Linked DNA regions of Arabidopsis thaliana. Changing the gene in region 2 together with the main gene of any one other region gives a genetic interaction. Each region holds a gene or a part of one and is shown on either strand. Other genes may lie near its edges.

The links. A genetic interaction does not mean that the proteins touch.
Region 1: of HUA2 (region 2) and PEP, changing one enhances a phenotype caused by changing the other (phenotypic enhancement), as found in Arabidopsis thaliana (one study listed by BioGRID).

Annotation. Positions count from the first base shown.
Region 1 is NC_003075.7:13,195,022-13,198,775, reverse strand, and holds the start of PEP (RNA-binding KH domain-containing protein), read right to left. Parts: upstream 1,708-3,754; 5' UTR 1,497-1,707; coding exon 1,137-1,496; intron 903-1,136; coding exon 650-902; intron 491-649; coding exon 342-490; intron 260-341; coding exon 2-259; intron 1-1. UniProt on the Arabidopsis thaliana protein: Regulates vegetative and gynoecium development. In concert with HUA2, antagonizes FLK by positively regulating FLC probably at transcriptional and post-transcriptional levels, and thus acts as a negative regulator of flowering.
Region 2 is NC_003076.8:7,784,246-7,787,999, reverse strand, and holds the start of HUA2 (Tudor/PWWP/MBT domain-containing protein), read right to left. Parts: upstream 2,166-3,754; 5' UTR 1,828-2,165; coding exon 1,717-1,827; intron 1,309-1,716; coding exon 1,232-1,308; intron 1,009-1,231; coding exon 1-1,008. Other genes in the region: NCLPP7 (nuclear-encoded CLP protease P7), read right to left, coding at 3,174-3,592. UniProt on the Arabidopsis thaliana protein: Transcription factor that functions as a repressor of flowering by enhancing the expression of several genes that delay flowering including FLC, FLM/MAF1, MAF2 and SVP.

The DNA of each region.
Region 1 (3,754 bases), on a different chromosome or scaffold from region 2:
CCTGTGTCACAAAAGCAGAAGAAACCCGAGCAAGACCTGGGGAGTGTCTGGCAGACAGTACAGGATCCTGACTGTAGATAGAAACTCCCGAAGGCTGAACACGTGAGTCCACCCGAGAATCGCGCTCCAGAAACAAAGGTTCCCTCCGTGCTAAGAGGGAGAAATCAGGCTCCATTAGATTTGACGAAATAGTATGCAGAGATGACTTGCTTTCAGCTAACGGTTCTTCCTGGCGAGTTTGAGAGACCCTAGCTAGATACTGAAGATAAGAAAAGATAACAATAATTCAGAAAAGAAAAAAAAGGGAAAGGAATAATCTCGATTGAAACAAGCAAGCTTACTTGCTTCTCGAAGAGAGGGACAACAGTATGGTCAACTAAAAATCTCCTAAGGTGTCCAACAATGGCTTCTAATGCTTTAAGAATCTTTAAAGCTTCCCCTTGCAAATCCACTATCCTCTCATCCTGTGCAGCATAAAACGGTGTTTCCTCTGGCAGAAAAAAGTAGAGAAATAAGAAACTGGCAACAAAGACACCAATTTTAGAAAAAAAAACAGACATGAATTGAAATAGCAAAAACTAAACTTTAACAATCACAAACAAAGAGATCAATTAGGTAAAAACAGAAAACTGCAGATGATAGATAATACCTTCTGATAAAATACGAACTGATGCACCAGAGTTCTCTACTATAGACTTAATCAAAGATCCTTGTTTTCCAATCAAATTAATCGCCTGCGTTGAAGCAACTAATAAACGCACTGAAGAGAAGACACTTCCAGCGTTTTGAACATCATCATCATCATTATCAGGCAACCCTGAAACACGTCTAAACACCCTCAACACTGCGTCCATTGCCGGTGACATGTAGGCCTCTGGTTCTTCCTTACCAGATATTAACACCTAAAACATAACATTGAGCAAGTAATTAACTTAGTGAACACTTCAAACTATAATTGGAACCATAAAGTAATCAAATTGCACAACTAGGGGATAAAAGTTCACAACTTTAATGATCACAACTCAAGAATCTTCCTACTTATGATTAAGAAACCCTAGAAATAGAAATTAAAAATCCCCAAATTCGAATTAGCTTTGAACACAGTAAATCACGTAGAAGGAGATAGAGATACTAACGATGCGATCGGGAGTATTAACAGGACCATCAAGGACTTTGATACGAGCACGAGTCTCCTCACACATCTTCTTTATAAAGTCACCTTTGCGTCCAATAATAGCTCCGACTTTAGTCACCGGAACGATCATACGAAACACGCAATCACCAGGCCAACCTGGCCACCTCTCCTCCGCGGAATCGTTCGTATCGGGGAAGGTAGTCTCAGCAGCAGCTAAGCTATCGGGCTGATTCAATTCAGGGAAAGCGCCAGAGTTTTCGTCAAGCAATGCGGCGGCACTGAATCCCGCCGGTATAAGGTTTTCATTCTCAGGGAGGTTTATGGAACCGTTGTTCTCAACGGAATCTGCGACGGCGGCCATTTGAACCGGTAACACAAAAAAGATAGCTAAAGAGAGAGACTTTTTAACCTCTGGTGGTGGTTATAGGAATCGCCGCTGTCATATCGTACGACGTCGTTTTGGCTTAATGGTTTGGGCTTTTCGATATGAAACCATTTTAGCCCATTTGCTATCATTTTTGTTTTGTCGAAAAATTGTCCATATGAGCTATGTATTAGGTCTATGTTTAACCAAAGAATGAATACTCCAACTCTTCTCTACTTGGGTATATGTTTGAAGCTTAGGATATTAAGAAAAAATGTTTCACCATATATTTTAATGTTATGTTATATCATATGTATCTATATATAGTATTTTCTTAAATATATGTTTGAAGCTTACTACATAGTAACATACTAGTCATGCTTTCTTTTATACTTTTCCCCCTAAACTCAATCATATGTGGTTTCAACTTTTCTAAGTCATTCACTATTTTGCATGATTTGTATTGATTAAAATAGTTACGATGAATATCCACAGTAATAGCCGCAATCAATTAACAATATAAATAGATATGTAAATAAGAACATTTTCGAACAATATAATAGAATACTATATGAGACAGAAGTGTATTATTATTCATTATACCGTAATTTTGGAAGATTTTAGTTAATATCCGTTGTCTTCATATGCAATATGCAATGGGGATGAAAGGGACGTAACATAGAAATTATCTGCTGGCCCGTAAGATACTTATCTCTCTGCCGCTGCGAGTCCCTTTTTGTATCTTAGTTTTTTAGACTTTCTTGATTTAAGAAAAAAAAACAGTTTGTTTCTATCTAAGTTTTTGATCTTTGATCAAACATTTTTTTTTGGATCAGAAACTAAAATGAGATTTTAAACCGAAGAAGGAAAGTGAAAGACGATGCTATTGAATGAGTCCGTCCCCCATGCTGAATTAAAATTGGGAATTTAGGGCAAAACATATATACGTGTATACGTACGATAATGGTCCCCTCAATACACGTAGATATGTAATGGAAGAGAGTTCACTTGTAGTTTGTAACTATTTGGGTCAATCTTGTACAGTGCCCTAATCGACTCTCAAGGGTCACATGCTTAACATCATACTTATACATTTATCACATTTGAAGTGTCTACTTGCATGAATTGAACTTTTTTTAGTTACTTTCCGAACAATTTCTTACATATATTTATTAGCACTATTTAGCTCTAACTAATTACATCATTACTAATTAACGTCCCCAATCTGTCTATTCAACACCTATGAAAGGTAACATCTACCGTGATGTCAAAAAGAAAAGGTAACATCCATCAACCGTTAATAAGCATTAAACCGCTTTAAATATCTTTGTTATCCAAAGGTAACTAACAGTAACATTAATTAGGCATATATATACATCATCATGGAACACAAACAATCTTCTATTCCTTTACTTCCATTTCCATCGACCAATTAGATTGATGCTCCTTAAAAATGTTTGATGAAGATGTGCTTTACCACTCCAATACATTTGTTTTATATTCAAATCTTTTTTAATGTCTGCTTTTCTTTTATAGTACAAAACTCAGATATGAATTTGAAGATAGATTGAATATTCTGCTTAAAAGGAGAAAAGCTGAAGAAAAGAAAGTAGAAGACGACAGGTCACATGTTGACATGTTGTCATAAGAAAAGAAAGAGTAATAACATAAGAAGATTCCAAAAAATAAAAATTAACTGGGATGGACTTTGGAGACGGTGGCCAGTGTTGGCAGAGAGAGGTTTTATCCTTTCTTTTCTCTATAGAAATAAAATCTCATATTTCCCTCCTTACTAAGTTATAGATTCTCCTCGTATATATATGTACACATATGTTCAATGACTGATGGGAATATAATCTTTAAATATGTTAACTCAAGTACTAAAATTCTCATTTTTCTACGTCTTGTCTTGTTAAATACATAGGAAAATGACTGGTGGGAATATAATCTAGTATATGACAAAGACAAAACTACGTATATTCATCCCTATATTCATCTGATTGTGTGAAAAAAAGAAAAAGAGTAAACGTATTCATATCGATACATGAGAAAATACTACTGTTCAATAGCAGTAACATACTAAACTCGTTTGACACAAACAATCGAAATAATCTCTAAGAAACTGTAAGAAAATCTAACGCTATGACGAAAACGTATGATTGCCCTCTGCCACATATCACTTCCGAATGATACCAAATGGGTCCAATCGTTTCTCATTACCCAATAGCCACGCGACTCTCTTTCTCTCACTCTCC
Region 2 (3,754 bases):
GAAAAAGAAGGAGAGGTAGCATGCTCCATTGTCTGTCTCTGGCGCTTTGTATATGCAACTGCTTCTTTATCATATTGAAAATTTCCACCGCGAGCACCTAATCCTAAAACAATTTCACGCTTAATATCTGATACAGTCCCAGTAGAATCAGATCCATCATCAATTTCACACTTTACTTTATTGTCTGCACTTTCACATCGCGGCTTTTTAGCAGCACGTGAGCTTTCATCTACTCTTGGTGCAAGCTTACCTTGTTCACTTTCAAGCCTCCTTTTCTTTCCGGAAACCCCAACCTTGATGCCAGGTGAATTTTCATGCTTATCAGCAGACACTTTGGAGCTGGTTTTCTCTGTCAACAGACCTTTCGATTTTTTGGAATCAGAGTTACCACTGGCAGTTCGACCACCAGGCACATGTGAGTTATTGCTTTTGTCTCGATGAACTGTATCTTCACCTTTTCTATCAGAGCCACCTGCTTCCTTCTTAATTCTCTTACCGTTAGCCAGCTTCTTTTGGCCATTACCAAAATGTTCATTGCAAGCACTACCGTCAGTTCCTTTATCAAAATCTTCTTTCTTTATTTTAGGGTCAAATGAACTATGCTCCAGTGACTCGCTAACAGGGGATGTGGTTTTGACCTTTGATTCCAGAAATGAAGATGAATCTAGCTTCCTTATCTCAGCCTTTCTCTCCTCACCATTATTCTCATCTAATTTGGGGAAGCAAGGATCCACCCTAAAATTAAAGTTATCAGTTCTCTCAGACTCAATGACAATATGATCTGTTCCATCCACTATCTCAGCCTTTGTCAAACCAGGTTCAGTAGCATCCAGAGAATCCTCATCGCCCAAAGCATTTGACTTGTGATTCTGCAACCCTTCAAATGCAGTGCAGATTTGCTCTACAGCTTGTGCAAAGTACTTGACAGTTTTACCTTGACATCTTGCTAATAGTTTGCTCTTTGCCTCACTAGTGAAGGCTTGGATATCAGGTGGCGCAACAAAAGCTCTGCAGTAAAGGAAGATAACTTTGTCAATGATCAGTTTGTAAAAGACAAAATCAACTCCAAAGATATTGTCAGCCAAAAAGAAAAACACTTGGTAACATGTTGAAACACCTGATAACCGAGGTCTACTACTTAATTCCTAGCAACATGATATACTGACTAAAGTTCATATACCTTTCTGGATGAGAAGGTACCAGAATCAAAGAATAAAAGAGAATAGCTTACATTTCCTCTGTTCCAAAGAACTGAACAAAGTACTTCTTTGGGTCTGGCGCACGATCCCAATCTTCAGGCCGGCTGATCTGAAACTCAAAACCAAATTACTTCACAAGAGAGACTAACTAAAGAGAATTGTATTAGAGAGATTCGGAAGCTCATTATTTATCGAGATGAATAACATGTGTGTTTCATAATTCAACCATGGAATCTGACCGAGTAACTAGATAGATGAGTTAACTGACTTTCAAACCAACTTAATCATGAAGCCTAGTATCTCAACAAAAAGAAACAGAACACACTAGAGCTCAATTCGACGAAGTTAATGTGTATTCTAGAATTCGTAACGATAAAAACAGAAGACCCAACAAGTTAAAGATGATGACTATGGACTTAAGGACTATATGAGAATTCAATTAGAGAAGAAGCAAAAAAAACAAGAATCTGTGTAAGAAAAATTAAAACCCAATAGAGGAATCATAATGATAACGCACCTTGGCAGGCCAAGCAGGGAAGCCTTTGACTTTGGCGAGAACCAGATCACCGAGAACCAACTGCCCTTTGGCTTTGGCCTTGCTCGCTCCTCTTTTACGCCCAGGAGCCATAGGCGAGACCTCTATAAACCCTAATTTTGAACGCGAAATTGGAACACCCAACAGAATTACGTATTCCAATCCAACCCAGACACCCAATTAGAAGAATTCTCCGATTCCTCCTATCCGAAGATTATTCCACCGGAAGAAGCTCGCTGATTAAGGTAGTAGCGGAGACAGCTACGGATCACGAAACGAGAAACAGCGACGTAGCCGAGAGAAAGAGAGAGCGAGATTGATCCAGACAGAGAGAGATGAGGCGGTCGCGAGAGAGAGACGATGGGGTTAGGGCTGAAAGAAGGTGAAAACTTTCCAAGGAGTTTTTGTGAGAAGTTTGGTTTACTGTTGTCGGCGTTTTTTCCCCTTTCAATTTCCTTTTTCACCAAGGAGAGATCGAAATCGAAAAAGGTTTTTCCTTATTTTCCAATTTACCTTATTTTGTAGTTTAATCTCACTACTCCTAAGTCTCAACCAAATATATTATTAAGTCATTGGGTCATTTATGTCCTCTTTTCTTGTTTACACTTTCCTACACGTTTCCATTTATACTTTTAAAAAAAAGGAAAAAAAAATCATGTTTTCCATTTTTACACATTATAGAACCAACAAAATCATATAAACATGTAAACCATAGGATAAATTAACAATTCTGCTAGTATTTAAAAAACTTTTATTAGAGTGAGATTGTCCAAATATAATTCAGAGTAACAGAAGCAAACACTAGCAATTGAAGGCTCAGCTCAACACGACAAGACAACACCGTACAAGAATTTTCATAAAGATCTTAAGATTCTGTCCCTAATTCAAAGAGCATAATCAAAGACCAGTGTTAACACAAGAATATGATGTGTTCTAACTTCTTCTATATAAAAAGAGGCAAATCAGAATAGATGTGGCTTTGACTTGATGAGGTAAGCAAAAACATGAAACCGAAGAACATCGATCAAGAGCATAAGGAAACAGCAAACCCCATCTTCTAACATAAACTAACCAACTAGAACTGGGGTTTCTGAAACTAGACAATAATCTCATCATTTTAGACTTTCTAGTTAGTATAAAATGATGCATAAATCAAAGATTTGCAATGCATCAAACTGCACATAAAATTAAGACCCAAAGCCAAGCGTTAATCCAATATTCATTTTACTGAATCAGATATGAGACTGTAAACACTAAACATGCGAGGAAAAGATTTCAGAAATATAGTCATGATTGATTTATGAATGAATAAAAACAGTTTGAGAGATCATGCCCTCAGAGCATAACTTCATCCATAGAAAAAAGTAATCTAACAGGATCAAAGCAAAACTGGTAAGAGGAAAAGAAGAAAATTTATTACTTTGATTACCAGTTACTTCCTAACTTGAACTCTTATCTTTGCTTTCATTTCCAACTGCATCTTTCACCAACTCCAACGGTCTTTCATCAATCACTTCATCGATTATTCCAAACGCCTTAGCCTCTTCAGGAGTCATGAAATGATCCCTATCCATGTTATTCGCAACCACGTCAAGAGGTTGACCCGTGTGTTTGACATACAATTCATTTAACGCATCCCACACACGAACAATCTGTTTTGTATGAATCGTTATATCTTTAGCCTGTCCACTATATCCTCCTGAAGGCTGATGAATCATAACAGTTGCATTTGGAAGTGACCGCCTTTGCCCCTTGGCACCCGCTGCCAACAGAAGAGAAGCCATTGATGCAGCCTGACCCAAACAAATTGTGCTAATAGGAGAACGAATGTACTGCATAGTATCATAAATTGCAAGACCTGTATCAAAGACAAAGATTAAAGATGCGTCACAGACTCACAACAAACAATTTGAGACTCAGAAAGTGTTAACTCGTCACAAACCAGACACTCTTGAGACTGTGGACATTAAAACTAGTAGCAGGAATCAAGTTACAAATCCACAGAAGAACAAGTATCAAC